Linked DNA regions of Saccharomyces cerevisiae S288C. The protein of the gene in region 2 purifies or fractionates together with the protein of the main gene of each other region. This does not show direct contact. Each region holds a gene or a part of one and is shown on either strand. Other genes may lie near its edges.

Region 1 (8,567 bases), on a different chromosome or scaffold from region 2:
CTCTTCCAAAGATCATCAAAAAGCACCAGAGATTATCATGATAAATGTATATTCTTGTAAATATTATAACATATATACGAAAGGGTCACAATCACAGATACAATTTATAGATCGAGAGCCTTGCGTATAGCTTCTTTTTTTATAAACAAGTGCCTGGCTAGATGAACGCGCGAACAACAAAATAAATGATGTATTCATTTTAACATCAAAAGATTACGTTCGCCATTTAAGAAGTCACGAAATAGATACAGTAGTAAAGACAGATAAAAAAGAGTCGATTAGACAAGCAAAAATGATTGAAAAGGATAAAAGAACGATTGCTTTTATTCATCCAGACCTAGGTATTGGGGGCGCTGAAAGGTTAGTCGTCGATGCAGCATTAGGTCTACAGCAACAAGGACATAGTGTAATCATCTATACTAGTCACTGTGATAAATCACATTGTTTCGAAGAAGTTAAAAACGGCCAATTAAAAGTCGAAGTTTATGGTGATTTTTTACCGACAAACTTTTTGGGTCGTTTTTTTATTGTTTTCGCAACAATTAGACAGCTTTATTTAGTTATTCAATTGATCCTACAGAAAAAAGTGAATGCGTACCAATTAATTATCATTGATCAACTGTCTACATGTATTCCGCTTCTGCATATCTTTAGTTCTGCCACTTTGATGTTTTATTGTCATTTCCCCGACCAATTATTGGCTCAAAGAGCTGGGCTATTGAAGAAAATATACAGACTACCATTTGACTTAATAGAACAGTTTTCCGTGAGTGCTGCCGATACTGTTGTGGTAAATTCAAATTTCACTAAGAATACGTTCCACCAAACGTTCAAGTATTTATCCAATGATCCAGACGTCATTTATCCATGCGTGGATTTATCAACAATCGAAATTGAAGATATTGACAAGAAATTTTTCAAAACAGTGTTTAACGAAGGCGATAGATTTTACCTAAGTATAAATCGTTTTGAGAAAAAAAAGGATGTTGCGCTGGCTATAAAGGCTTTTGCGTTATCTGAAGATCAAATCAATGACAACGTTAAGTTAGTTATTTGCGGTGGTTATGACGAGAGGGTTGCAGAAAATGTGGAGTACTTGAAGGAACTACAGTCTCTGGCCGATGAATACGAATTATCCCATACAACCATATACTACCAAGAAATAAAGCGCGTCTCCGATTTAGAGTCATTCAAAACCAATAATAGTAAAATTATATTTTTAACTTCCATTTCATCATCTCTGAAAGAATTACTGCTCGAAAGAACCGAAATGTTATTGTATACACCAGCATATGAGCACTTTGGTATTGTTCCTTTAGAAGCCATGAAATTAGGTAAGCCTGTACTAGCAGTAAACAATGGAGGTCCTTTGGAGACTATCAAATCTTACGTTGCTGGTGAAAATGAAAGTTCTGCCACTGGGTGGCTAAAACCTGCCGTCCCTATTCAATGGGCTACTGCAATTGATGAAAGCAGAAAGATCTTGCAGAACGGTTCTGTGAACTTTGAGAGGAATGGCCCGCTAAGAGTCAAGAAATACTTTTCTAGGGAAGCAATGACTCAGTCATTTGAAGAAAACGTCGAGAAAGTCATATGGAAAGAAAAAAAGTATTATCCTTGGGAAATATTCGGTATTTCATTCTCTAATTTTATTTTGCATATGGCATTTATAAAAATTCTACCCAATAATCCATGGCCCTTCCTATTTATGGCCACTTTTATGGTATTATATTTTAAGAACTACTTATGGGGAATTTACTGGGCATTTGTATTCGCTCTCTCCTACCCTTATGAAGAAATATAATGTCTACTTAAATAAATAATGTATACCCCCCGAAGAAAAAATAATTTACATTGGAGAAGAAATCTCTAAATGCAAATAGCGTAACTTGTCCACAAACATAGACGTGTACATGTTACTTCGGCGAATAATTTTTTATTACTCACTTCGTGAACATGCTGGATAACGTGCATGATTCAATTAATTTATTCTGCCATTGTAGGGGTTCACAGAATTTCCAATACCTACTTCAATTCTCCCGTTATTGCCAGAGACATTAATACCGGTAGATACACCTTGCCCGGAGCCATTGACGCTGTTGACACTAGGGGGAGATTGGATACTATTTACGCTAGTATTGGGAGAGCTTATGGAGGCTTTCATCGTCATGAGGTTATTGTTACCGTTTTTACTACTATTATTGTTGTGGGTGCCAGATAAATGGCTATCTTGATTTGATTCTTGCATTAATTTGGTAGCGTTGGCTAAATATGAAGCAGCAGCTTCAAACTTCTGTTGTTGTAGTTGTTGTTGTCGTAGTTTTTGTTGTTGTGATTGTATCTCCAGCGGCGTGAGACCTGTGTCTTGAGACTTGTGCTGCTGCTGCTGCTGCTGCTGCTGAATTTGCTTGCTCGACACATTGGCATTAAATGATGAATTCGTTGCCCCGCCGGGGAAATGATTGGGCACCATACCTTGAGTAGGTTGTTGGGTACTGGCCTGGGCCTGCGCTTGGGGTGAGTGATGTTGCTGCTGCTGTTGCTGCTGTTGCTGTTGTTGAGAAAGAAGCTGAGCCTGTAGAGCTCTCTGTTGTTGTAGTCTTTGTATTTGTTTCGGATTGAGGTTTTGGTTTGTGAGGTGATTAATTGGCTGTGGAGTCCTAACACGAAATTTGTAATCTGTTGTTCTATCCAAATCCAAGCATCCTACACGAGAATGGATCGCACCGTAACCTGGAGATGTATATCCTGGTTTCACAGAAAAGGAGGAAGCAAACATTTCCCTCATTCTAAAATATTTAGTCCTGTATCTAACTGACGATAGTACCGTTGACTCTAGTGGCAGTGGGAAAGATCGGGATACCCCATTTAGAACCTGTGTTGTTTCCTCTTCAGGAGTTAGGTTAACGTGTCCTATCTCATTGATATTGTTACCATTGTGTACAGTACTCTTACCACCATTTTTGGCTGATTTCCCACCATTCACATTTCTTTGCTTAGACCTTTGACCTTGTTTCTGTTGCTGAGTATGTTTTTTCTGCTCTTTTTGTATCTGCTTTTGTAATTTTTGTAATTCTTGTTGCTTAGCACGTTTCTCAGCAGCTGCACCAATTTTTGTTTGATGTTCTCTATGATAATCTGCTAGCAAGACGTCGTAGGGCTTGGAACGACCAGAGACAGCCCTCTTTGCACCCATTGAATGGGACTTACATGTCAGCGAACGTGCACAGTAACCACCTTCCGGCAACTCTACACCACACTGTTTGTTGAAATCAATTAAATGCTTTTCAGTTGGGTTTCTTTGTTTGACTTTCTTTTGTTTTTTTATGGAAGAGCTGAAGGTTTGAGGAGTCCCAGTTTTCGATCTTTTCGTGTCCATATTTGGTGTGTTCGCAGATTCCATAGATGTGGATCTTTTCAAAGGGTTAAAAGAAGAGTCATTCTTCTTGTAATTGGCACCATTGGAATTATCGTCGTCATCATCAGCGTCATCATCATCTTCGTTGTCGTCGTTATCGTCATCATCATCATCATCATTGTTATTATCATTGCTATTGTCATCGTCGTTATTATTTCTCCCAGTTGATTCTACTCCATTTCGTATCGTTTCCCTAGTACTCTCATCTCTTGGATCTGTGCTACTTTTTCCAGATGCTCCCGCACAATGGTTTTCTAAGTGGTCTACAATTGCTGTCAAAGCTAAGGGTTTCCCACATTTTTCGCACACTCTATACTGAATCGGTTTATCCAAAGGATCTTCAATGAGTTGTGCATTCGGATTGAAGTATTTTTTTAGACTTTCGCGATTCATGTGATCATACTGCAAAGGAGTGTCCTTCGCGGACGACATTAAACTTTTCCATGAATCGTTGGAAGGACCACTTCCCTGAGATAAAGAATATTCCTCAATAACTTTGGGCTTAATTCCTTTAATCTCTGCATCGCCTGACCTCATTTTAGCTCTTTACTCTTTTGCGCTTCTCTTGTGTGTTCACTATTCTTATTTTTTTGGTTTATTCCGTTTTGGTAAATTAATCTCTAATGAGCGATGCTGGATATCAAAAAGGTTCTAAATAGTAATTTAGAAATTATTTTACAGCTATGAACAACTATATACGCTCTTCAGCTCCACTTTCTTCTGTTCGTAATGATTTTTGTTTCAAAATTGCTTGTACCAGCAATCTAACATCCTATATTCATTCATTTAGCATTTGCATTATGACGCACCTCTGTTTTCTTCGGGTAACTGAGTGAAAAATATCCATATGCTGAAGCACGCCTATTTATCAATGTTTATTATATTAAAAACTATAGATGGCTCGATGAGGTCTTACGTAAGTTTTTATAGTTCTCGCAAACATGATTGATTAATTGGAAGGCAATGGTAGTACTTCCAGGTAAATTGATATCATTTTTGAATGGAACACGATACCCGCCGGCGTACTTATCCAAAGCTTGAATGATTTCAGTTGTATCAAACCATTGAGCATCCAATAATTCGTCGTCATGATTCAGGTTGATAACCTCATTTTTGGAATTGAATTGAACTATGCCTAAACAGCCAATCATCAAACTGCAAGGGTAAGGCCAGGGCTGTGACCGGACTATATCAATATTTTTGCATGAAATGCCTGTTTCCTCCCATATTTCTCTGATACAAGCCTCCTCTATGGTTTCTGATGGCTCCATAAAACCTGCTATTGTTGAATACAATACAAAATCACCGTACCTTTTTTTTGATCTTGCCAGACAACACTTAGAGTAATCCGAATTGGTCAAGGCTATAATGACCGTTGGATCAGTTCTTGGGAAGCAAACGTTATTAATTCTTGCATCTCTCACATTACAGTATACATTCCGATTTTCATTAGAACACTGAAGCTTAGTTCCTGCCTCTACTGGGAATAACGGAGACCCACAACCGGGACAGAATTTGTACTTTGCTAGCCAATCCAGATACATCTTACCTTGTGAATAAAGTGAAGCATCCTCATTTGTTTGTTTGAAAATGTGATCTCTGGTCACCTTCGGATAGGAAAAAATAGGCTCAAAGTCGACTTTCTTGAAGAGTGTGCTCTCAGTAACACGGATATCTAATCCAAAATATGGTGTTCCTTTGTAAGAAATATTAGACCATTCAAAATTAAATGCAGAATCTGTGCCTTCCAGGAGACCTAAAAATGTTACATTGATGCCTGATTCATCGCTTCTTGAGCGAGTTGTGTTCAATAAAGTAGTGTATAAAGGAACTATTGCTGACAAAATATTCTTGTAAGACTTTACAGAATTAGAAAGCTGAACTAGGTCACCATTTTCGGGCGAAATGAGGGCTTCCCCTTCGATAAATGGGATAAAAACGGTAGAGTCATGGTTCAATGATTTTTTGATGAACTCTTTCGAACATCTTAAGAACGAAACTCTGTTCAAGACATGCTGGCCAAAAAAAGTCACAGCAGTGGACATTCTCTCAACTAACCGTAGCGTAATCAAAAAAAAATCAGGAGCAAAAAGGTACAATCTTTATCTTCTCTTTCGTTTCGCTCCTGCTCTTGTTCTTTATTCTTATGGTTGGTGGGCTTTATATTTCGAAGAAAAGCAACCGCTTTTGTAAGTTGGAAAAGTAGATTTATGAAGTGATAGATTAGCCCGTCTGAAATACTTATAACACGAAAACGAATGCCATAATGAAGTTGAAGATACTATAGAAAATAATAAGGAAATCAATCATTTTTATACATCTACTTGCAAGAAGCGATGTGGCAAAATATATAAAAGGCAGGACGAAAGAAGAATAAAGAGTTAAACATATTTACATGATATATTCCTTATTTTCTCGAAGAGAAAACAGACTATTTTGATTAACACGATTGGTAGATTGCTACAGTTTTAAAATCATTCTAAACTGACCTTAGCTCCTAAGTCTTCCAAGGTTTTCTTAATCTTTTCAGCATCATCCTTGGCGACATTTTCTTTCAAGACCTTTGGTGCAGCTTCAACGAATTTCTTAGCTTCAACTAATGAAAGCCCCAATAATCCCTTGACTTCCTTGATGACTTTAGCCTTAGTCTTCGTGTCGAACGAGTCCAACTTCACCGTAAACACGGTCTTTGCCTCAGGCTTAGCTTCTTCTTCAGCACCACTACCAGCTTCACCAGTGGAGCTAGGTACATTACCAGCACCTGCGCCTGCAGCGCCTGCCATGAATCCGCCCATAGGCATGGAAATTTCTGGAATGTTCAATACGGTTTTCAGCTCGTTGATTAAACTGGAAGTTTCCAAAAGAGTCAATTGTGAAATGTCCTGTACAATTTTAGAAATTTTAGGATCAACTGGCCTTACATCATCCTTATGTGATGGTGCTGTTGTAGTCGTAGAATTGAAACGGGTTGTGATAGTAATAGGAGAAATTAGCGCTGGTGTAACGCGCGTTTTCATCCAGATAGAAGAAGATCTCTTCGCTAGTATACGTAAGGACATACTGGGCGCTTATTTAATTGACTGTGTTTGCTGCTGACGGGCTGCTTGTCCTGTTCCTTCCAGAACTTACCGAGTTCTTGTTTGCCATTAGTTTGAGTTGTTTTATTGGACTTCAAGACATAGGGCGGGTAAGTTGAAAAATTTTGTTTTGGTGAATAGCGTTAAAGAGTAAGTCAAATGGAACAAGAGCAGATTCTAGGTAGAACGAAAGTTACAAAATCTAGCCAAAAGAGCAAGTTAAACTCCCCTTAAAACTGCTATGACTACGTTTAGATTTTGTCGTGACTGCAACAATATGTTGTACCCTCGTGAGGATAAAGAAAATAACCGGTTGTTATTTGAATGCAGAACATGCTCGTATGTAGAAGAAGCGGGCAGTCCATTGGTCTACAGGCATGAATTGATTACCAACATTGGTGAAACTGCGGGAGTGGTGCAAGATATTGGTTCCGATCCCACTCTTCCGAGATCTGATAGAGAATGTCCCAAATGTCACTCTCGGGAAAATGTGTTTTTTCAATCACAACAAAGAAGAAAGGATACTTCGATGGTTTTATTCTTTGTGTGCTTATCTTGCTCACACATATTTACTTCAGATCAAAAAAACAAAAGGACGCAGTTTTCATGAGTGCTCAACGAACTTTCAAAATTAATGACAGAGGGAGAGAAAATGGGACTTATCTTCACGTATGTCTTGTATGTATGAGAAAAGCACTACTATTTACACCAGCCTAATCTACCGGCAAAAGGATGATGTGAAATAACAGGGGGAAGGAACATGAAAAAATCCTGATCTTAGCACCGATATATGTAATATAATAAGAACGATTTTTTATCTGTAACAAAAGTAGAAAAAAGAATGTATACTATTGTTTTCTTTTTCTTCTTTAAAAAGTCAAAATTGTATAGATGCGTATATGTTCAGTATATAATTAATGAAGAAAGATGAAAATGTAATGAAAATGGACGAGAGATACGTCTAAGTTTGATTTCATCTATATGCTAATCTTCTGGCTTCACATACTTCAACTCGCCGTTCACCATTTTAATGTCTTTGAACTCTTCCAATAATGTGTTTCCCATTATTTCTAGCGATTCATGCGTTTGCATATCCTTTTGTACTGTTTGGTGCTGTTCGTGGTTATGGCCGTCGTGGGGCTGATTTTGGTGATATTGCAATTGCTGCGGTGGCTGCTGTTGCGGACCATATTGATGTGATCGTACTTGAGGTTCATTAGAGCTGAGATGACGATGGTCAACATGTTGAAAATCTATAGGATGTTGAGAACCGTGTGGGCCATTTTGTACAAATTTCAATTCGTCGAAGATTTTTGTTGAAGAGCTGCCAACTAAAGCTTCTTGTCTTAAAAGTGAGTTGCCCAGATCAGAAACGTTATGCTGAGTATTTAGCGAATGTGAATTGTTGTTTGGAACGCCGATGTTATTGTGGTTAGCAGCATCGGAGTGCGTCAAATATTGTAGAATATACTCATTATGTTCTTGGGAACTATTAGCAAATCTATCAATAATATCCTGGTTTTCCTGATGTGTTTCATTTGGGTCATGATGGACTGGGGGAGCACTACTAAGAATTTGGCTGAAATCTGCCTCTGAGTTCAAATATGGAGAATGAACAAAATCATCTGACTCTCCTTCAAATTCATTATTCGTGTTTGTAGTTAATGGAGAGAAGAGTATAGAGGAACAATCGTCCAATTGGTCGAAGACTTGTCTTGGATGGGTAGACCCGCTATGTGGATGCGGCGATTTGGTAAAAATGTTCGTAAAGTCAATTTCGTTCAAATTTGTTACAGTGTTTAGCTTGAAATCGGATGCCGGCAGTGGCAAGATTTCATTCAAATTGAAAGGATCATCAATATATCCTGAAAATGCTGTAGATGAGTGTTGCGAAGATGTTGGCGTACCGGTCTTACGCAGCCTTGATTTAGTTGTGAGAAAGTTCTGCATGGTGGTTCTTTTTAAGAGTGTGTCTTTATTCTTACACTGGCTTTTCGGTTTCCTTACGTTATTGGTATTGATACTACCGGTGTTATTTACAGAGGGTAAGCATGGCCTTTTAGATGCATTCG
Region 2 (8,627 bases):
ATATAGTTTATTTATTCTTTATTTACTTACTTACTTGGTGCGTTTTTTTTTTATCTATTCACTTCAACAATTCCTCGATGATACGGTTGGCTGTGTTGTTGTCATTGGGGTCTAAGGACTTGACGCCTAATCGTCTCAACACTTCCACAATCTTGTCCTTTTCAAAACCTTGAGATTCAAACTCGTCAATCAGATCGTGGTCAATCCCATATAAATCAGACTCCTCTACATTGCCTTTTTGACCATTGGAAGTTTCACTGGCGTATAACCTCGTCCATAGTGCAGCAGTCTTATTAAAAGATTCTCTATCCCGTAAATAGTGTTGTGCTACTTCTGCATCTTGAGGATCGTTAGGCTCTGGAGATTGTAGTAGCGCCTGTAGCGAAATCAATGCAGACTTTAGTGTTATCACTGGCGACCATGCATTCTTAAGAATATCTAAACAAATGGCACCTGTCACTGATGATATATTTGGATGGTATACTTTTGTGTCGAACTGCATCTTTGGTGGTTTGAATGGATACTCCATAGGTACTTCGATATCCACGACAAATTTGCCACCCTCGTAAGGTGTTCCAGGTGGGCCCAAAAATGTGCCTTTTAAATGGTGGATATCAGATTCACTCACAAATTCAAGAGTAATGTGAGCTGCAGGATCATCCTTCACAGCTTGGATTTCTTTCATAATTCTCTTAGCCCTAGACATCGCTTACTTCTTACTACTACTACTTATATATATACCACTTGTTTTTTTTAATGTATCCAACCACTAAATTACGATACTTATGTCGTCACACTTGCTTCAATTGACTTTACCTATACGCCCGCGATCGGAAGTTCATGCATTCAACTGTCATCTCATTGTTTTTGCCCCTCCAAATATTTCAGATGGAAGAAAATGTAACAAAAAAGGATATTAATGTTCGTATTATGTGACTATTTTTTTTTTTTTATGGATAGTTATCCAAATTGTTAGTTATATGCGTTATTATGCTACGTATTTTTCCTTAGAGTTCGTATATTTTAATTTAGTTCCACGTCCTTATTAGTGTTTTGTGCAAATACATCGGCTTCATCCTCATCTTCTTCTTGGTCCATGTCCTTGAATACGCTTTCATTGGGGATTCTCTTCATAATTTCAGGTTTATCAAACAATGGACCAATCTTATTAATCCACCTTTGCCTTTTATCCAGAAGGGATTTTAAACTTGAGTTTGCAGCCTTTTGTTGTGCTATTTGAGACGTGGTTCCTGTGTTCACATTATTTGAAGCTGCTGTATGATGCTTCTTTCTTTTCTTGGGTACGCGAATACGTTTGACATAAGCCTGGTCGATTTGTTTGTCTAAATCTTCTAAAATAGATGAGTATTCCTGCCATGCTAGTTGTCTTTCCACTAGTGGAATCAATTGGGCTTTCCTCTTTTGGTTTTTCTTGGTCACTTGTTTTAAAGTGCCTTGCAATTCTCTTAACTCTGCGCTTATTTCGTCGTCTTCTCTACCGGTGACCCAATCGGGGTCATCTGAGTTAGGGTTGTTCTCATCCTTAGGCAAATTCATGTATATCCCTACATACTTTAGTTCTCTTTTCAATCGTTCTTCGAATGTTGGATAGTCCAGGTTAATTCCATTTGTTATCCACCCAATTTGTTGGGGTAACGTACTTGTAGTACCGCCATTACTGCCTTTATTTTCTGCCAGTTTTGCTTGGAAAGATGCTTCCTCATCAATGTCATTGTCAGGTGTTTGAACACTGGGCCCGTTCTCCTGAGATAATGTCATGTCTACAGTATCATTGTTGTTGTTTCTAAACGATTGTATATCGTCTTCCCCTCCGGTTCTCGGTAGTCCGCCATCCCGTATTATTTTAGAAGATTGCAATTCTGATTTGTCATTGTCATCTTTTAATACAGCACTCAACAGCCTAGATAATAAGGGCCCACACGATATACTGCCCGATTCCAAAGCATTATCATCAAGTTCGTTGGCACTTTTTTTTGGTAGTATAGTAGATGCATCGTTTGAATATGGTGAAGGTTTTTTATAGGCAGAATTTTTGTCGTTTTCATCTTTGAACCAAACATCTGTGTATAAAGGGCCTAGTTTCGGTATAATAAACGGGTTTACCTCAGGGTCATAAGTTTTGTCAAATTGCAAGCTATCGGGTATAATATATTTCATCTTCAAAAACTTTAAGTTGTCATCACTAAGATCTTTGAAAAAATTTTCCACAAATGCTAGAAAGGTATTGAATTGAATTTGGTTGGTTGGTTTAGGATGCGAAAAGTCCATATCCGGTAATTCACCTGGTAACAGATCTTTCAAATCATTTGTTGGATAACTAGCTACATTGTATTTTTTTTTTAGGAAGTCTTCTCCTGTACTTTCTAGTCCCTCTTCATTGAATAAGCCGAGTGCTGCTGCTGCTCGAGGTAACGTTTGCGATACTACAAATTCTGATTTTGGATTTTTAACAGTTGGATCGTTTTCCATTTTGTCAACGTCAATTTTTTGCTTCTTATTGTCTGGCCTCTGTGTGTTTTCATTTTCAGTGGCCCTATTTTCAGTTTCAGAATCGAACGGCCTCTTTTCTCTGGGTTGATCTCTATGAACTTGTAAATCTTTGTCTTCATTAATTTCTTCTTTAGCCATATTATCAGCCGCTTGTTTGATGCTTTCTACATCGTTCTCAATTGTGCCGGAGATTTCATTAGAAGGAGGAGGTTTTGGTGGGCTTTGTACCCCTTTATCAATTATATTCGTTTCTTCAGTAGCAGTAGAACTTTCGTGCTGCCCGTCTGCATTTGAAGTTTCCTGCTTTTCATCGTTTGCTTGCTTCTCATTTTTACTGTCTCTTATTTTCCGAAGCGCTTCAATGGTCTCTTGATCACCTCGGGCAATTGTACCCAGTATTTCATTGAGACTATCCAATTGACTTTGCAATTCAAGTAAAGTTTTTTTATTGGGTATGGACCTAACACTTTTGCCATTGAGCATTCCAATATCACGCTCGAAGGTCAAATCTAAAGTTTTAAGCATTGACGATAAAAGCTTTGACGGAGTATTGTCGCCTCCCTCCTTTTTAGGAAGTTTCTCGCCTTTTGGCAGTTTTCCTCTTCTTCCATGTCTAGGCATATGTCCTGTCCAATACTTCTCGTCGCTCCGTCTTTGTTATGTTTTTCCAACTTCCTTATTGTAATCGCTACCACGAATATTTCATTTGATGGCGTTCATTTAATGACTGCCTGCCATTGTTTTGTTGTCGTCGGCGAACCTTTATCGCGTTGCACGTCGGAGCTCTTTAATGAGTTCCGCTAAGAAATTACGCTAAATGGGACCTTTTCTGTAACTGATTCTGAGTATATTTCGATCTGTGAACAAGGCAGTAGAGTTACCGAAACATTTGACACTACTAAAATACTATTCTTAGGAAGATGAAAGTACCATTGGGGTTATGGAAAGTCTCTCGGGGTAATTTGTGGAGCACCCAGAAAAGGGTTTTGACAATGTCTAGATGTTTGAACAGTGATGCTGGTAATGAAGCTAAAACTGTGAGAGAAGGACCAGCTTTTTCAGCAGATCTCTATATGCATCCCGAAAAATGGAAGGGTTTACCTCCTCAAAGAATTTTAGAGTTATATTGGGAGAGAATGGCTAGATTGGGTTCAGAGTATAAACCTAACAAAGACGAACTGAATGCCTTATTAACCACTTCTGAGTACTCAAATGTACCTGTTAACGATATTAAAAAGCTATATCACAGAGGAGAACAAGGCGCTATTGATATAAAAGGTGGAAACGTGAATCGCGATAACAGTCTTAGACCGTTTATGTTTGATGAATTGCCATCGCAAGCTCAGGAATTGGTTGCCCAACATCGTGAACAAAGGTTCTATAATCGATTAGCCGCATATGAGTTACCGCTATTAGCTCAATATCGCCAGGAATACAAGAGACCATCTCCAGAAAGTCATCCGGTCACTTATAGATACACTAGTTATGTTGGCGAAGAGCATCCCAATTCGAGGAAGGTTGTATTAAGCGTTAAAACCAAGGAATTGGGCCTGGAGGAAAAATCATTACATAAGTTCAGAATATTAGCCAGGTCGCGTTATGATCATACTACAGATATTTTTAAAATGTCTAGTGACAAATTTGAGCATGCATCACAAAATGCACGTTATTTGCATGATATTCTTCAAAGGCTGTTAGCGGAGTCAAAAGATTTGACGGAGGACGATTTTAGCGATGTTCCCCTTGACACAAGGCATACTATAGCTAAGAGTTTACGTAAAAAGAAGCGGGATTATGAGTTTCCTGAACACTGGAAACGCCCTGAAGATGCACCAAAGAAGAAATTTGATATTGTAGATCAATTATTGAGCACTCTTTAATACATGTTCAAAAACAAAAAGAACGGCCCCCCTGTATATATTATGTATTTGTTTTGCTTCCTTCTTTTTCTCTAAAATGTACATAGTTTTAGCACAATACAACATTGAGAGGTTTGAAAAGGTATAATCGCAAATTTAGAACTATATACATACATATACACAACGAAAATGAAAAGGAAGATATACTGTTACAAGAGGAGAGGGATAGATACATATATATATATATATATGTGCATACACTATGGGCAAAGCAAGCCCATGCTGCTATATTTTATTCCTTTTTTTATTATTATATTTATTTTAGAAAGACAGTAGAGTAATAGTAACGAGTTTGTCCGTCCATCAAATAGAAGAGTTGGATTTGTCCTTCTTCTTATCCTTCTTCTTCTTCTTCTTCTTCTTTTCCGAAGATCCATCATCATCGTGAGGTCTCTTTTCCACAGGAGGTTCAGCGGCGTGCTGTAAACTGAAAGGAATTGGAACCGGCGCATGAGTTGGACCGTTTTCCAAGGAAGCTGGTGGTAGGGTACCGTTTTTCTTTGCTTCTAAGTATTTGGATTTCTCTCTTTGGTAATTCTCCAACTCGACGTTGTAAGCCTGCTTCCATTTTTCTTTTTCGTTATCACTCAATTCCTTCCATTTCTTGGAGATTTCTTGAGTAATCTCAGTTGAGGATAAAGGTGGCAAGCCAGCCTTTTGTCTGTCTTCACGAAGTTCTTGACGAACGTACGCAGAGTAAGCAAAGAAAACAGTCAGTGGCTTCTTTGGAGCATTTGGATCACGTTCGATCTTTCTTCTTACAGCCTTGACTGGAGCAGCGATAATAGCATCTTTATCATCATCAATAGGGTTAACCAGCTCCGAGCTGATGCCGTGCAAGTGGTTTACACCAGAAGTCAATGTTTGCAAAGACTCAGTCAAAGTGGTGAAAGCCTCTATCTTCTCTTCTTCATCGTCGCCGATGGCATTGTAGAAATCAACAATAGAGGAGGCTGTCTGATTAGCAGCTTTTGATAACTCGAAGAGGGAGGAGACGAGGGAGTCTTTGGCGGACTTCAATTTGACAGAAGGATCTGTAGTCATGGTGTGACAGGCTTGTTGTGTGTGGTAGGATGTACATCCTAGAGTATAAGGCAGTAGACCAGCCCTGAGGGCCCGCTGGGACTAATTGGTACTTCTTGCTAAGTTCTTGAAGGAAGAGAGTGTTCCAGGCAGAGTTGCCCCCCGTGGTACTGGAGAGAATCTGAGTGAATTCCCTTCCGGAAGCTTCTCTCCGCCACAACGGTCGGATGAAAAAAAAAAGCGGGAAAAAAAATGGTGAAAAACCACGTTCTCGAAGCCAATTGGTAGATAATCGAGTCGGGTAATATTTCTCAGAAGTAGGCTGGGTAACTAAGTATCTCACCAAAATGTCTTTATACTGTATACAAATGGTGGGACAAAATGGAATAAGATAAAGCCATTGGAGATCCCTTTTTTACCAGTAATCAGTTAAACAATTTCCATTAGTAGCTTACATGGATATGTGCATACGTGTGCCTAAGTAGAAATTTTTTTCACATGGATACGGTAAACAATTATAGGGTTTTAGAGCATAAAGCTGCTGGCCACGACGGTACTCTAACAGACGGTGATGGATTGCTCATCTTTAAACCGGCCTTTCCGCAGGAACTGGAATTCTACAAAGCCATACAAGTGAGAGATGTGAGTCGAAGAAAGTCTTCGGCTGATGGAGATGCTCCCTTGTGCTCTTGGATGCCCACGTATCTTGGAGTCTTGAATGAAGGGGCAAAAATCGAGCAAAGTGGCGATGCTGCGCTTCTGAAGATAGATGAGCGGTTAAGTGATTCCACTGATAATCTTGATTCAATACCTGTAAAGTCTGAGAAGTCCAAGCAATACCTCGTTTTAGAAAATCTACTATATGGATTTAGTAAACCTAATATACTTGATATAAAATTAGGCAAAACTTTGTATGATTCGAAGGCATCATTGGAAAAAAGAGAGAGAATGAAAAGAGTCAGTGAGACGACGACTTCAGGATCTTTGGGTTTCAGGATATGTGGCATGAAAATACAGAAAAATCCCTCTGTGCTGAATCAGCTTTCGCTCGAATATTACGAAGAAGAAGCAGACAGTGATTATATCTTTATAAACAAATTGTATGGTCGTTCAAGAACCGATCAAAATGTTTCAGATGCAATTGAACTTTATTTTAACAATCCTCATCTGTCGGATGCGAGAAAGCATCAACTGAAGAAAACATTTTTGAAAAGATTGCAGTTGTTTTATAATACTATGCTAGAAGAAGAAGTTAGAATGATATCAAGTAGTCTTTTGTTTATTTACGAAGGAGACCCGGAGCGATGGGAATTACTAAATGATGTTGACAAACTTATGCGAGATGATTTTATAGACGATGATGACGACGATGATGATAATGATGATGATGATGATGATGATGCCGAGGGAAGCAGCGAAGGACCAAAGGACAAAAAAACAACTGGTTCTTTGAGTTCCATGTCACTAATAGATTTTGCACATTCTGAAATAACGCCGGGGAAGGGTTATGATGAAAACGTGATTGAAGGAGTTGAAACCTTGCTAGATATTTTTATGAAATTCTAGATATATTGAGAGGTGAAGTTTACCTTGTTTATGGTATATGGTACAAAAAGAACTAAACTAATTATACGTCTATATATATATATATATATATAACAGCTTTATTAAACCTTGTTTTTTAATATAGAAGAAAATGCTTTATGATCGGTATTATTGTGTTTGCATTTACTTATGTTTGCAAGAAATTTACTCGGCAATTTTAACAATTTTACCAATTGCTATTGTGGTACCTTGATCTCTCAAAGTGAATCTACCTAATTGAGGGTAATCTTGGTAAGTTTCCACACAAACTGGAGCTTCAGTTTCTAAAACAGCGATGACCTTCATACCCTTCTTAGCAAAAGCAGGTGGTTTCTTTGACTTACGGTTGGTACCCTTTTCTAATTTGTGCAATAACTTAACAATATGTACCTCTTCAATTGCTGTATGAACATGCATAACACATGAAAAACCGGCTGCTATGATAGATTTTAATTCTACAATAGCAATTTGAGCTACAAACTTGGTAACACTCTTGATAGGGTTCTTTGGCGATGTTAGTACAAAACCTGGTGAAATGTCTTCTTCTTCAACACCTTTGATTCTTAGTTTAACTTGCTCACCACACATAGCCATATCAACTTCATTTTCAGTTTCGTTGTAAATATTTTGAATTTCCACAGCGGTTTTGTTAGGCATCAGTAGGGTGGATTGACCCTTTTTGATATGACCGGATTCAATTTTACCTTCAACGATGGTACCTAGATCCTTCATCTTAGCGGCAATAGGCAACATGAATGGAGCATTGATGTGACGGTCGACGTGGTTCATTGTATCCAGATATTCTAACAGAGTTGGGCCGGTGTACCATGGGCATTCTTTTGGATCTACGTGATCTTTCAAATTTGCACCACTGTAGCCGGATACTGGCATAAATACAACGTCTGTCTTAATGTTGTAACCAATTGCTCTCAAGAAATTGCTGACATTACTCACACATTGGTCGTAACGTTCCTTAGACCAGTTAACGGTTGGGTCATCCATCTTATTTACGACGACAACCATCTTATTAACACCTTGGGTCTTGGCCAATAGGGCGTGTTCACGAGTTTGACCACCTCTCTCAAAACCGGTTTCGTACTCACCCTTTCTGGCGGAAATGACCAAAACACCAACATCAGCTTGAGAAGCACCACCGATCATCTCGGAAACGTACATTTTATGACCAGGAGCATCCAATATGGTATAACGCCTTTTTTCAGTTTCAAAGTAGGCCTTACCAACTTCGATAGTCTTACCATCATTTCTTTCTTCTTTGTTGGTATCCATGACCCATGACAAGTACCAACCTTGTCTGCCTGCATCCTTGGCTTCTCTTTCATATTTCTCAATAGTTCTCTTATCCACAGAGCCAGTCAAGTATAGTAGATTACCACCCATAGTAGATTTACCGGCATCAACATGACCCATGAAAATTAAAGAAACGTGATCTTTACCACCAAACATATCGTTAACAACTTCGTCATCCACTTCTTCTTCCTGTTCCTTGATCAAGGCATCAGCACTGGTAACATTGGCATTGTTGGTATTATGTGTTGATTCAGAGATTTTAAGGTCTTCTACCTTTGGAAG
Region 3 (7,703 bases), 440 kb from region 2:
CCACTAAGATAAACTAAAAATATCTTTATAATGCCAAATAATACTCTTAAACAAGGCTCCAAAATTGAAAATGTTTCTCCCTCTAAAGGTCATGTCCCAAGTTTTTGGAAGCAGTTCATAAACAACCCTAAGAGTATGTCATCCGAAAATATTACAGTCCCTAGATCACCAACTTCTCTTTCAAGGAATGCTCAACCAACTACTTTAAAACGGCCTCCATTATCTTCAAGACCATATTCATATAATACCCCAACCAAAGATAGGAAATCCTTTTCCAAATCCGCGAAACAGAACAATAACAATAACAACGCTAATTCCGGAACATCGCCTCACGCAGAGTTCAAAAATTACAGAGATATGTTTTTATCTAATAGAAATGGTTTCACAGGTAGGGTTTTCGGTGTTACTTTAGCAGAATCGTTGAGCGTCGCCAGTGCAGAGGTCATTGTTCAAAGTGAGTTGGTGAGTTTTGGTCGGATACCCATCGTGGTAGCCAAGTGCGGCGCATACTTAAAAGCAAATGGATTGGAGACCTCGGGTATATTTCGTATAGCGGGCAATGGTAAAAGAGTAAAAGCCCTTCAATACATATTCTCGTCGCCACCTGATTATGGTACCAAATTCAACGATTGGGAAACATATACAGTGCACGATGTTGCATCGCTCCTGAGGAGATACCTTAATAATTTGGCCGAACCACTAATACCTTTATCCCTATATGAACAATTCAGAAACCCGCTACGATCTAGACCAAGAATCCTAAGGCATATGTTGACCCACGAAGTTTCTCATCCGAATGCGAATAAAACAAATAATGTAACAGTAAAATCAAGTAGACAGAACTATAATGATGATGGTGCTAATGATGGTGACATCGAAAAGGAGGACGCTAAAGATGATGAAGAAAAAAGACGAAGAAAAATACGTCATAAGAGAAGGCTGACCCGCGATATAAGGGCAGCTATCAAGGAATATGAAGAGCTCTTTGTTACCTTATCAAATGACACGAAACAGCTAACTATATACCTACTCGATTTACTGAGTCTTTTTGCAAGGCAATCACAGTTTAACCTAATGTCTGGTAGAAACTTGGCGGCCATCTTCCAACCTTCAATATTATCGCATCCTCAACATGATATGGACCCCAAAGAATACGAGTTATCCCGACTAGTAGTGGAATTTTTGATTGAATACTCGTACAAGCTATTACCCCATCTTTTGAAGTTGGCTAAAAGGGAACAACAGGAACGGTTGTCAACCGAAAATAAGAAAAATAATGGAGATAAACAGAAAACTGATCCTATAGAAATACCAAAGATCACCTCATCGGATTCGCCACCAATAGTTTCTTCCAATAAAAACCCACCGGCGATTGACAATAACAATAAACTAGACCATACGACGTTATCGCCAATATCTACTTCGATACCGGAGAACTCATCAGACCTACAGACTTCAAAAATGTTAAAGCCTCCGAAGCAAAGAAGACCACACTCAAAATCGTTTGGTTCTACTCCGGTTCCTCCGGATGTTATTGCTAGTAATAAAAGAAGAACGAGTTTATTCCCGTGGTTACATAAACCGGGAATTTTGAGTGACACAGGAGACAATGGCGACTTAACTGCTACTGAAGCTGAAGGTGATGATTATGAAGAAGAAAATGTTGATCCATACGGTCAGTCTCCATCTAGCGTACACTCAGGTTCTTTGCCCAAACAGCATTATCTGCCAATTCCTCGAATGAACAGATCGTTGAGTGGAAACAGTACCAATTCGTCCTTTAACACTAGACCTATTTCAATGATCCTGACCAGTGGTAATGATAATTCCGCTGATCAATTAGAATTACTAAGTAACACTCATAGCAATAATGAGCGCAGTAATGCTTTACCATTAACCGAAGATGATGGGGATGAAAGAAATTCAAGATCACGCAAGAGGGAATCATGGTTTCAAAGACTAACAAGCCGTTCAGGCTCTGCTAACAGGGCTTGATAACACCATTTTTCTTTCCTTTTAATTTCCTCATTTTTTTTTTTTTCGTTATTTCCCTTAAAAACCTGTTGGCGGTTTTCTTTCTTTTTCTTTGCCTTCTGTATAAATAACAAATAAACATCATTCCCCTTTCAAGATTTATAACCATAAAGGGAACATATATAACATAAATCATGAAGAGGACAAATTACGGACAATTATTCTGTAGCGATGCTAATCAGTATAAAATAAAAGAATAAAAATTCTTAAGTTGTTAATATGCCAGAGAAATGTTACAGCTTGTAACTCTTCAATAATGAATTTCTATGTTATATGACTGGCTGTTTCATATAAGCTATAACAGGGATCATGATCATTAAGCATTTTCTCTGCAACATTTATGTCGTACACTGCGAACCACGATTAAATAAATATATAGATACCTTTTCTTATTTATTAGTCTAATTCAACAATATCAGAATTAGTCGGTTCATTAACTAACTTTGTCCTTTTGTTACTGGGCGCCTCAGAAATCTCAGTATCAACTGGCCTCTTCTTTGAACCATTGATCGGTTCAGCATCGATGGTGATCTCACCTTCATCGTCGTCTAATATCACGATACCATCTTTCCCATGACTGTTCGTAGTTGCGACTACATCTGCACCCTTTTCATTTTTTTCTTCTTCTTCATTTTTTGAAGGACTATTGTTGGCCTTTATTAATGGGACTTCAACGTCCGGTAAGCTGCAAGTATTACATGGGAGTTCATCATCAACATCAAGAAATAATTCTATGGCTTTGCGGATCATTGTATCACCTTCTTCGTCGGAGAATAATATTATAGAACCATTTCCAAGATTAATCTCCGATAAAGTACGATCGTTCAAATCCTCGAAATCGTAATCAAATAGTAACCTTTGATTACTTGCGTCCAGGAGCGAAATATCCTGTGGATATGAGTACTTCTCGCGTATTAAAACTACAAAATCACTTAGTTTCATTTTGTTCAAACAATCGCTGGATAACTTAATAACACCTCTACAAACTTTAGAGCAAACTGGGCAATTTTTATTTGGAGGGGCTAGTTTCGGATTTGATAAATAACGATTTTGGGATAGATTGCTTGCCTTTGCTGTGAAAGCCATATTCAAATCAGTATACTTAGTAGTTGGGGCATATTTCAAAAGATTTAAAACGCGCAGTGAAATCAATGACGATGCACCGGCAACGATAGCATTCGTTGTTGCAATAGCCGGGATAATGTTACCAGCAATTTGCTTGATGTCAAATACGGACTTCATTGGAATATTGAATATGTGTGACCTTATGTTCGCAGCAGTTGCGACGAATTCCAAAGTATCAGCATCATCTTTATCAAATTCAATATGATTTTGCTCTTTGGGATAGCGATCCATTAATTTTTGTGTAATATTAATGAAATTACTAATTTGCTCCTGTATTGTGCCAACAGAATTAGAGGCAGACTGAGCTGTTTTAGTAGGAGTATTTATTTGAGAGTCTGATAATGGTACTGGCTTTGTTCTCGTTTTCCATAAATTTTCAATGGCTAGCAGTTTATTTATATCCTGAATGAATAATTTATTAAGAATCTCTGGAATACGGGATGCATCTCTTGATATGATAATTTTTTGCAATTCATACAATTCATTAGTTTCTTGTTTAATGCGCTTAATTTCTTCAGCATCATCTGTACCCCAATCCTGGTTGTTATCATCTTCATTTCCAGAGGTCTCTGACGCAAATAGCTGGTTAAATAGAAAGTTTTTCGCCCAAACAATGCAATGAATTGGCTGAGAAGGAGTGGACCTGATAGTACACACAGGAAAAGTCTTTGGTGTTTCCTTCTTTGTACATTCAAAACACTCAGTTTTCCCGGGGATAATAGGCTGCATGTATCCATCAAATCCAGCTGTTCCAGATTCTATTAAGGGCAGTGATAGAAACTGTGATATTTTATTGACATACCGTCTTGCGGCCAAGTTATCAAGAGCATTGAAGATAATGTCAAATTGCTCAAACCAATGCAGTGGGAAGGTAGAAATGTCCATAACATTTCCTTGGTAAGGCACTAACTTAGAGTTATTGAAATGCTGTACTGCTTTTACGGCTGTGGTAGACTTCGGTTGTTTAATATCTTTTTGTCTAAAAAGAAATTGCCTGTTTAAGTTCGAAAGGTCAATGGTGTCCAAATCGACAATATGTATTTCACCAAATTCCATCAAGATTATATCCTTTAACAATTCAGACCCTATGCCCCCAGCACCGACCAGAAGACATCTTGAGGACCGTAATTTCTTGTAACTATCTTCACCGATGATTGTTACCAAACTTGTTTCCCTTGGCATTTTCTTTTCTTGTTTGGCGTAGCGCTCCTGATCTTGTGTGTCTGTTGAAGTACGCAATTAGTGGATTGCTCATCCAAATATCTTGATTTAGCGTAAACATACTTCGCCTTTGAAAAACTTTAACTTGAAAATAGAGTATAAAAAAAAATTGCACAAAAAATGCGGAAGCCGGGAATCGAACCCGGGCCCCATGCTTGGGAAGCATGAATTCTAACCACTGAACCACTTTCGCTAAGAAGATCTAGCTTACATAGGTTTTGTGGTAATATAAATTCTTGAGACCGTAACCGCGCAAAGAAATACCTAAAATAGTAATTGCTAACTACATCTAAAAACAGACTGAAGCTCACTAGATATGAGACTTTTCTCACATCTTCAAAATAAAGAAAACAATAGCAGGCGAAATTTTTTTGAACCTGGTTATACAGTGCATGCTCCAAAATGTCGTCTTTAAACACTACTTTTTATTCTAAATAATTACTTGAAGGGGGGAAAGAAAAAGCTCAAAAACTACTCTTTTAAGACTTTATTACCGTCCTTATGATATATCATTAAATAGGCTGTGAACCCTTCACCATTCGGATCGCAATTGCCGTTAGAGTCGACCTCACACTCACCGTATTTGAACGTCATGTAATTTCTAAATCCAAAATATTCGTACACAGATTTAGCATGCTCGGCAATAGCTTCAAGGACAATGGCGCAATTTTCTTCGTCTGCTCTCCTTTTGTACTCTTCAAAAATAGTCCTTACAGAACCTCTGATTCCTTTCTCATTTAAGTTCTTACCAATACAGAAAAGATAGTAGTAATTGATGCCATTTGGAATGACTTGCTTTACGCGAGCATTTAAATCGTCAATAAAGTCCTTGTTGAACTTTGCATCATTACTCCTTGCCTTCGGAACGTGAGGTGGAAGACTCCACACTGCAACAGCATCGAAAGTATTAACTTCGGAGATCTCACCATAAGGTGAATCCAGGAATGGCGATATGATATCGGTGGTTATTGTCCTTGTAGGCACCTTCTCAGCTAGAGGAATATTTAAGATTTTCTTGCAGATAAAATGAAACGCTGGCGAGTTACTAAAAGCAATAGACAAAGTCTCTGCTGCTCTTCTGGCATCCGTAGTCTTGTTCAGGGTACAGACCATATGGCCCTTAGCATCGTTGTTTTCTAATGGAGTTGGCAGTTTGTTCTCGAAGGACATGATGTTCGGTTACATGTCTTAGAATTATTTTCTCGAGATTAGTGAGTGACTTGGCATAATATCAGGTACAATAACTGTTATATATACGCCGGCGGCATTTCATTTTTTTCACTTATCTCAGCCCCTGGGACTCTGATGCCGTTCACACCAACGTCTGCTGTGATTTGGAGTGAAATATCTGGATACTAATAGAAATATTACGATAAAAAAGAGTTATCTACAGTTTGCTGCATTATTTTTGCGTTATCGGTCAATCAACTTTAAGAGATCACCGTACATTTCCGGCAGCATTAGCGGGCGTCTCTTAGTTTCTTTGCAATACAGTAGGAACTCCAATTTTTTGTTCGTCTCCTCGCTACATTCAGATTCAACTGCAATCTCGAAAACAAGTTTTTTATGCCGCCAAAATAGGTATACATTGCGTTCAATGCATTCTCATTCATCTCTATCGCAAGAACGTCTTGTTCAAAGCTGCCCTTTCTTGAGGCTTCAAGCGCAGCGCACAGAAAAGAAGAAAATCCGAACCATGTAATATAGATCGGCGGAAACGAAAAGTAAAAAGTAAGGTTGAAGACACTCTGAACCCGGGGAAGAGTGCATACAAGGTACCGTGCCAAAATTCAAGAGATTAGGGCAGGAATGATGGACAAGCATAAGTATCGTGTGGAGATTCAACAGATGATGTTTGTCTCTGGTGAAATTAACGACCCACCCGTAGAAACCACATCACTGATAGAAGATATAGTGAGGGGTCAAGTGATAGAAATTCTTTTACAGTCAAACAAAACGGCGCATCTTAGGGGAAGTAGGAGCATTCTCCCTGAAGACGTCATTTTCTTGATCAGACACGACAAGGCCAAAGTCAATCGTTTGAGAACATATCTGTCATGGAAGGATTTGCGTAAAAACGCCAAGGACCAAGATGCTAGTGCCGGTGTAGCGAGTGGCACTGGAAATCCTGGGGCAGGTGGTGAAGATGATTTGAAAAAAGCAGGTGGTGGCGAGAAAGACGAAAAAGATGGTGGAAACATGATGAAGGTCAAGAAATCCCAAATTAAGCTGCCATGGGAATTGCAGTTTATGTTCAATGAACATCCTTTAGAAAATAATGACGACAATGATGATATGGATGAGGATGAACGAGAAGCTAATATAGTCACTTTGAAAAGGCTGAAAATGGCTGACGATAGAACACGAAACATGACTAAAGAGGAGTACGTGCATTGGTCCGATTGTCGACAGGCAAGTTTTACATTTAGGAAGAATAAAAGGTTCAAGGACTGGTCTGGAATTTCGCAATTAACTGAGGGGAAACCCCATGATGATGTGATTGATATACTGGGGTTTCTAACTTTTGAGATTGTCTGTTCTTTGACGGAAACAGCTCTGAAAATCAAACAAAGAGAACAGGTATTACAGACTCAAAAGGACAAATCCCAGCAATCTAGCCAAGATAATACTAACTTTGAATTTGCATCATCCACATTACATAGAAAGAAAAGATTATTTGATGGACCTGAAAATGTTATAAACCCGCTCAAACCAAGGCATATAGAGGAAGCCTGGAGAGTACTACAAACAATTGACATGAGGCATAGGGCTTTGACCAACTTTAAAGGTGGTAGACTCAGTTCTAAACCAATTATCATGTAAATTTTTGTATAATTTCATCATGGAGGTGCATGGGTTTCCTTCTGGTATGATAAATGTGAGCCAAATGAATTGAAAAATACAAATAAAGATTATGTACGTAGATACGCGTTATAAAGAGGACTATCTGATCATTGGGGTCTTTTTCGTTGTGAAATTGTAACGGGTGAACTCAGTGATTAAAAAATTGCGTGATGTTGAGATACTATGGGGCGACAAGAAACTTACCCTTAGTATTCAGCATTAACAAATTAATGTTGAGGGCGTCATCTTTCACCAGGCCATTTCATTATAGTTCATATTCTCTACAGAACGGTGATACTCCTGATAAAGGCAGCACTAATAAAAATGAAATACGGACACCTAATAACGCTGTTTGGAAAGAAAATATAGAACTTCAATGGCAGCACTTGAAAAAGAAATTAAATGAATTGTATTCTAGGTTTAACTTCCACCGAGATCAATTATCCTTTCAAGTTAACAAGGCCAAAAAATCAATTCAA
Region 4 (7,021 bases), on a different chromosome or scaffold from region 2:
AAATTATAATTTGAAGTACAGCGGCGTTAGCGAGGACGATGATGAGATTCCAGAGTTTGAAATACCGACAGAAATGTCGTTAGAGCTGCTACTTGCGGCGGACTATTTGAGTATATAGGTACAGGAAAAACAAAAAAGAGTTAGGAACTCTTTCAAAAAATTATATTATATGGGTGTGATGTTGCAGCATATTACTCTGATATGTAGAAAATTGAATGCATTGTTATAGCGTACTTATGTGTAACCCTTCCACATAACGGAATGCAAGGTATCATTTGGCATCATATATGGGAGGTGCTATTATAAAAACATGTAGTTAATAGCTAAAACAGTTTTCGCCTTCTCTCTTTGAGATGTTACCACATAACTACATGAACTTCTATGTGCAGATATGCCGCATAAAATGTAAGAATCTTGCTTTTTTTATGAACCTATGCCCACAAGAAATGGGCTAAAATCTGTCTGTGCCTTTTCAATTACCCATAAACCACCACCTAGTGTCAACGTCTAGCACCCCTACTCAAACATCTCTGTAAATGAGCTGCTAGTCTGTTTGCGGACACATCCCTGCCACAATTCTCACAGTGAATATACTGAGAGGACTCTTGTTGCTTCTGTAGTCCATTAATATCGAGAGATCCGTTCGGGTCGAAATAATAACTGCGAAGATCCGGATATCTTGTCTTCAGCAATTGTTGTTGAGTGGTTTCCCGAGCTACAATGTCCTGGATCAATGTGGTTAACAGGTTATTCAGTATCCCATTTGAAATAGAATCTATAGTAATAGTTTCTTCGGTCATCGCAACAGGAAAACCCCGTAACCTAAAGAATTTGAAGGATTATTATACTGCTCTGCTCAACGGAAGAAACGCTAAGTTACTTCTTCGATTCCTCAGAATCAAGAAAATAAGCAAATCACTGCTATACATATAATACATGCATCTATTATATAACAATAATCCAAGATACGAAAAGGAAAACTTGATTTTTTTTCTGCGGAAGTTTCAGAGCAGAAAAACTCTGTTACCCTATATTGCGTCATAAATAAGATATAGATAAAACTACCTAGCATACTTTATAATAAAAGGCGACATGAAGGATAGTACGAAGAGATTATTTTAAGACCTTACCGTCAACAATTTCCTTTGGTTCGCCATTGACGGAAACTGGCTTATCCCAGGCCCACATGTTATTGATGAATTCTTTGTCGTCGTCGTTAGTTGGATCCAACTTTGCATAGTCGTAAGATTCCCAATCTGGTGCGACATCGAAAGCTGGAACGTAATCTTGGCCCCTAACCATAACTGCACCAACAATACCGTTGTTGTTGTTTTCACCGTAGACTACCAGACAACCGAACATGTACTTGGTAGAGGCGGACAATCTGTTGAAGAAACCACCGACCAAGTTGTTGGACATGAAAGTCAAAGTCAATTCATCGTTGTACTTGTAGGTGACTTTCCACAGGGAATACTCTTCTGGGTTGTAGTGCTCCCAAAACCAAGGTAAAGCAACTGGTCTGGTGTCTTCATTGGAGTACTTTCTCTTCCAGTCATCCAAAACGAAAGTTGACTTGCCCAATAATTCTAATGGGTGCTTTGGTTTCTTGGAAGAAGTTTCAGTTTCGGTAGCAGCTGGCTTGGCTTCCTCCTTCTTCTTCGAAGCGGCGGGAGCGGCGGCTGGGGCCTTCTTTTCCTTCTTCTTTTGAGGGGGACTCAATGGCTTGTCAGCGAACTTGAAATCCTTGTATTCATCCTTCAAGAAGGGTGAGGCTCTAACGGTGTTGAACCATCTCACGATGGCTGGATGTTGAGCTCTCCATTCAGTACCGAACAGGCTTTCAAAGTATCTGGTGAAAATCGAGGCAGCCACCAAGTCGGCCAAGGAGATGTTTTCCGTAGCCAAATAGGTGTAGTTTTTCAATCTGTTCTCGAAGATGTCGACGATCTTGTCAACAGCGTCCATCGCAGAATCAACGCTCTTCTTGTTGTAGGGGGCGCCGCCCTTCAAGGGAACGATGGTGTTGGCAATCTGGATGCACAGATCACTGTTGGCCAAAGATTGCCATCTGATGATTTGCGCTTGGGCATTTAAGTCATCGTCGGCACCTAAAAGTTGAGTCTTCATCTTGTCGTCCTGTGAAAGCTTTACTAAATAATAGTTAATCGCCATTGCCTCGGTTAGCTTGTAACCCTTTGGACCCACGAAAGCCGGAACCTTCTTCAAGGGAAAGTCCCTTGCGAACTGTTCAGCGGCGGCATCTGGCGTAACAACCTTAACGTCCAGCTTCAAAGCCTTGACAAGACCTCTTGGGACCCAAGTTCTAATTCTGAAGTTAGCATATAAAGTACCTTGAGACATGGCGTGCAAAAACTGTATCTGATCTTGAGTTTCTATGTTCTGTATGCTCTAATAACAGAAAATACAATAACAAGGAGGGAAGACCAATTTGCGGGCTGCCAAGCAACACAACCAAACCCTGCTGATAAACGAAAACAAGAAAACTAATAAAAAAATAAATAAGGAACTCTACAAGGACTACACTAATCATGTCTCACTCCCGCGGATTGAAAAAACGAAAGAAAAAAACAGGAATCAACGCCCAACGACCTGCAGCAGCAAGCGTGAGAAATTCCCCGAGTGGGTCACCGCGAGCGGAAGATGAAACAAGCAGCAGTCGGCTTGCACAGGCCTTGCATGTATGCGTTGGTGGGCCTTGGGCTTTACTTATAAGCAGCTGCTTCGCCACTTGATACGGTTGTTCTTTACATCTGTTTCTCGCTGGGGGAAGTTTATTAGGTTTAGTTTTTCCGCTTTGTGCTTTGCGTTTTTTTAGCTTATACAGAAGAAACGCACTTAAAAAGAATCAAATCAGTAACAAATTTTGGTATTGTTTCTCAAAGAAGAAAATAGAAAGTGAGAATGGCCGTATCAGCCCGTTTGAGAACGACTGCCGAGGATACATCCATTGCTAAATCAACACAAGATCCAATTGGTGATACAGAAATCAGTGTAGCAAATGCTAAGGGCAGCAGCGATAGCAACATTAAGAATTCGCCAGGCGGAAACAGCGTTGGTCAGGAGTCGGAGCTAGAGCATGTCCCTGAGGAGGATGACTCTGGTGACAAGGAAGCAGATCATGAGGATTCTGAGACAGCCACTGCGAAGAAGAGGAAAGCCCAACCATTGAAGAATCCGAAGAAATCATTGAAGAGGGGCAGAGTCCCGGCGCCTTTGAATTTATCGGATAGCAACACTAATACACACGGTGGTAATATTAAGGACGGCAACTTGGCTTCGTCTAACTCTGCACATTTTCCTCCTGTTGCTAATCAAAACGTGAAAAGCGCGCCCGCACAAGTTACTCAGCATTCCAAGTTCCAGCCCCGTGTCCAATACTTGGGAAAGGCCAGTTCTAGACAATCTATACAAGTGAATAATAGCAGCAATAGTTATGGGAAACCACACATGCCCTCGGCGGGCATCATGAGCGCCATGAACCCTTACATGCCCATGAATCGCTACATAATGTCACCATATTATAATCCGTACGGTATCCCTCCACCTCACATGCTGAACAAGCCCATAATGACACCCTACGTGTCGTATCCATATCCAATGGGACCGCGGACCTCCATTCCTTATGCTATGCAAGGTGGCAACGCTAGGCCCTACGAAGAAAATGAGTATAGTGCTAGCAATTACAGAAACAAGAGGGTTAACGACTCATATGATTCGCCTTTGAGTGGCACCGCTTCCACTGGGAAAACCAGACGATCCGAGGAAGGCTCAAGAAATTCTAGCGTAGGATCAAGTGCGAATGCCGGTCCTACGCAACAGCGCGCGGATCTACGCCCAGCAGATATGATACCTGCTGAAGAATACCACTTTGAACGGGATGCATTACTCTCGGCCAACACGAAAGCCAGAAGCGCAAGCACAAGCACAAGTACAAGCACAAGCACAAACCGGGACAGGAGTTCATGGCATGAGGCAGAACCCAATAAAGACGAAGAAGAGGGTACGGACTTGGCCATCGAGGACGGAGCGGTCCCCACTCCCACTTTTACTACGTTCCAGCGGACCTCGCAGCCGCAGCAGCAATCACCTAGTCTTCTTCAAGGCGAAATCCGACTCTCATCGCATATTTTTGCCTTCGAGTTCCCCCTGAGCTCTAGCAATGTAGACAAGAAAATGTTTATGAGCATATGTAATAAAGTATGGAATGAATCAAAGGAGCTGACAAAAAAATCATCATCACATCACAGAACCGGAAAATAGTAGCCACACAGGCACTTATAAACTTACATACACTCGCATACACTCACCTACTCACACACGCACTCACACACACACTCTCACTCGCACACCAAGGACAATTCAGTACATACACAATTTTTATATAAGTTTGATAAACTAAAAGATGAGGGTGAGTATTCACCTTATTAATAGTTACAGCCTTTATCGTCACTAGACACGACAGCATTGGTTTGTCTTTTTTTTTTTTTTTTTTTTTTCCTTTCCATCGTTGTAGCGGATTTGGCGTTGAAGTATTTTGATATAAGTAAAACAGAACACCAAATCAAGAATAATAAAGGAGGAAAAGTCGTCAACCAAGCGGATTCTCAATTGGTAGAAAAGCTTTTATTATTTTCTGTTAGCCGCTCTTGGGACCCGTTATTTCTGAACCTATTTTTCCTTCCGCACTTTGTGAAAGTAAGAAGAGAATAGCATCAATTTTAGTATTTTTCAAACAGAAGAATTTAAAAGAGCTAGAATAAAAAGTTAGGAAACAATGTCACTTTCTCTTGTATCGTACCGCCTAAGAAAGAACCCGTGGGTTAACATTTTTCTACCTGTTTTGGCCATATTTCTAATATATATAATTTTTTTCCAGAGAGATCAATCTCTGTTGGGACTTAATGGCCAGTCCATTTCCCAACACAAATGGGCACACGAAAAGGAAAACACATTTTATTTTCCCTTCACCAAGAAATACAAAATGCCAAAGTACTCTTATAAGAAAAAAAGCGGCTGGTTGTTCAACGATCACGTGGAAGATATTATCCCAGAAGGTCATATTGCACATTATGATTTGAACAAATTGCACTCTACGTCAGAAGCAGCTGTCAATAAGGAGCATATTTTGATATTGACTCCAATGCAAACATTTCATCAACAATACTGGGACAATTTGCTGCAGCTAAATTACCCTCGGGAATTGATTGAATTGGGGTTCATTACACCAAGAACAGCCACTGGTGACTTGGCCTTAAAGAAATTGGAGAATGCTATTAAAAAGGTTCAAACGGACAAGAAAACTCAAAGATTTAGTAAAATTACTATTTTGCGACAGAATTCCCAGAGTTTTGATAAGTTGATGGAGAAGGAAAGACACGCTTTAGATGTTCAAAAGGAAAGACGTGCAGCAATGGCTTTGGCGCGCAATGAATTACTATTCTCCACCATAGGACCTCACACTTCTTGGGTGCTGTGGCTAGATGCCGATATTATAGAGACACCACCATCTTTAATTCAAGACATGACCAAACACAACAAAGCTATCTTAGCTGCAAACATTTATCAAAGATTTTACGATGAAGAGAAGAAGCAACCATCAATCAGACCATACGATTTCAACAACTGGCAAGAAAGTGACACCGGTTTAGAAATAGCCTCTCAGATGGGTGATGACGAGATTATTGTCGAGGGTTATGCAGAAATTGCCACTTATAGGCCATTAATGGCTCATTTCTACGATGCTAATGGCGTACCAGGTGAAGAGATGGCGCTGGATGGTGTTGGTGGAGGCTGTACTTTGGTCAAAGCAGAAGTTCACAGAGACGGTGCCATGTTCCCTAATTTCCCATTTTATCACTTGATTGAAACAGAAGGTTTTGCTAAGATGGCGAAGAGATTAAACTACGATGTATTTGGCTTACCAAACTATTTGGTTTATCACATAGAGGAAGAGAACCATTGAGCAACTGAGCAAAAAGCATACAGAAGCTATAGCGTTATTGAAAGATAATATTGTTGCGATTATTAGTTGAAAATAAACAAAACAAGATATATATTCATATATATATATATATAATTTACACATGTATATTAAAAAATGCCGAATAAAAAGTGCTACAACAACTAATTTCTGAGCTTGAGAATAAACCATTCACATTTTATTTCTTTTGGTGCTTCTTTATCATTTATAAATCGGTGGTCTTGACTTTTTATTCCTTTCTAGTCTAACAATCATCCATTCTATAGCGTCTTTAACACCTTCTCCAGTCAATGCGCTTATTGGTAAAACCCTACTATCTCTAGCGCTTATATGTTCCGCAATCTTATTAAATACTTCTTTTATATCTTGTACTTCCATTCTATCTTGTCTATCTTGTTTATTGGCCAGCATCAAGATGGGTACACCTTCAATTTCTTCATCCATTACAACTGACTGTAGGGTCGTGGAACATTCGTCTAATCGTTCTCTATCTGAACTATCCACAATGAAAATTATACCATGACATAGGGAATAGTATTCGGACCACATTGATCTCAGTGATTCTTGACCACCTACATCCCAAAACTTCAAGATCTGTTTACTGTCAACGGGTATTGTCGCCACATTTTGTCCTACCGTAGGCTGTATCTTTTCCAAGGCTTTGAACGCCAGAGAGTATTCCTTTTTCAATGTCTCCAAGAACGTCGTTTTGCCTGCATTGTCTAGACCTAATATTAGAATTGAATATTGTTCCTTTTTATTCCAATTATTGTAAAGTCCCTTGACTAAATGAAACATGTGTGCGGTGCGCTTTATATGCTTTATTCTCCTTCATCTACTTGATTAACACATCGATCTGAATTCGTTTTTTAATTTTCCGTTTACATTTGTCTGAAAAAGGTGTAAACATATTTCTTATACTAACACTCCCATAAAGTTCAAAGTAGAAAATAGGAGGTGGGGGAGGATACGTACATATGCAAGCTACATTGACGTATCTGCTCTTAAACATAAAATAAA

What was found.
Region 1: the proteins of NGG1 (region 2) and SGF73 purify together in Saccharomyces cerevisiae (affinity purification with mass spectrometry; 6 studies listed by BioGRID, with this or other methods). This does not show direct contact.
Region 3: the proteins of NGG1 (region 2) and SPT3 purify together in Saccharomyces cerevisiae (affinity purification with western blotting; 6 studies listed by BioGRID, with this or other methods). This does not show direct contact.
Region 4: the proteins of NGG1 (region 2) and SGF11 purify together in Saccharomyces cerevisiae (affinity purification with mass spectrometry; 6 studies listed by BioGRID). This does not show direct contact.

What each region holds. Positions count from the first base shown.
Region 1 is NC_001139.9:372,997-381,563, reverse strand, and holds SGF73 (deubiquitination module subunit SGF73), read right to left. Parts: upstream 3,956-8,567; coding exon 1,982-3,955; downstream 1-1,981. Other genes in the region: MRH4 (ATP-dependent RNA helicase), read left to right, coding at 1-41; ALG2 (GDP-Man:Man(1)GlcNAc(2)-PP-dolichol alpha-1,3-mannosyltransferase), read left to right, coding at 293-1,804; NPY1 (NAD(+) diphosphatase), read right to left, coding at 4,309-5,463; mitochondrial 54S ribosomal protein bL12m MNP1, read right to left, coding at 5,893-6,477; DNA-directed RNA polymerase II core subunit RPB9, read left to right, coding at 6,737-7,105; DNA-binding transcription factor AFT1, read right to left, coding at 7,480-8,567. UniProt on the Saccharomyces cerevisiae protein: Component of the transcription coactivator SAGA complex. SAGA acts as a general cofactor required for essentially all RNA polymerase II transcription. At the promoters, SAGA is required for transcription pre-initiation complex (PIC) recruitment.
Region 2 is NC_001136.10:808,957-817,583, reverse strand, and holds NGG1 (histone acetyltransferase NGG1), read right to left. Parts: upstream 3,133-8,627; coding exon 1,024-3,132; downstream 1-1,023. Other genes in the region: E2 ubiquitin-conjugating protein UBC1, read right to left, coding at 59-706; mitochondrial 37S ribosomal protein mS35 RSM24, read left to right, coding at 3,432-4,391; HMO1 (Hmo1p), read right to left, coding at 4,734-5,474; ARG82 (inositol polyphosphate multikinase), read left to right, coding at 5,952-7,019; SUP35 (translation termination factor GTPase eRF3), read right to left, coding at 7,203-8,627. UniProt on the Saccharomyces cerevisiae protein: Component of the transcription coactivator SAGA complex. SAGA acts as a general cofactor required for essentially all RNA polymerase II transcription. At the promoters, SAGA is required for transcription pre-initiation complex (PIC) recruitment.
Region 3 is NC_001136.10:1,252,507-1,260,209, forward strand, and holds SPT3 (transcriptional regulator SPT3), read left to right. Parts: upstream 1-6,189; coding exon 6,190-7,203; downstream 7,204-7,703. Other genes in the region: GTPase-activating protein SAC7, read left to right, coding at 31-1,995; E1 ubiquitin-activating protein UBA2, read right to left, coding at 2,431-4,341; IAT4 (Iat4p), read right to left, coding at 4,852-5,550; SHE9 (She9p), read left to right, coding at 7,395-7,703. UniProt on the Saccharomyces cerevisiae protein: Component of the transcription coactivator SAGA complex. SAGA acts as a general cofactor required for essentially all RNA polymerase II transcription. At the promoters, SAGA is required for transcription pre-initiation complex (PIC) recruitment.
Region 4 is NC_001148.4:459,741-466,761, reverse strand, and holds SGF11 (SAGA histone acetyltransferase complex subunit SGF11), read right to left. Parts: upstream 801-7,021; coding exon 501-800; downstream 1-500. Other genes in the region: ELC1 (elongin C), read left to right, coding at 1-118; CAM1 (translation elongation factor EF1B gamma), read right to left, coding at 1,114-2,361; DIG1 (Dig1p), read left to right, coding at 2,923-4,281; mannosyltransferase complex subunit MNN9, read left to right, coding at 4,796-5,983; Arf family GTPase ARL3, read right to left, coding at 6,203-6,799. UniProt on the Saccharomyces cerevisiae protein: Component of the transcription coactivator SAGA complex. SAGA acts as a general cofactor required for essentially all RNA polymerase II transcription. At the promoters, SAGA is required for transcription pre-initiation complex (PIC) recruitment.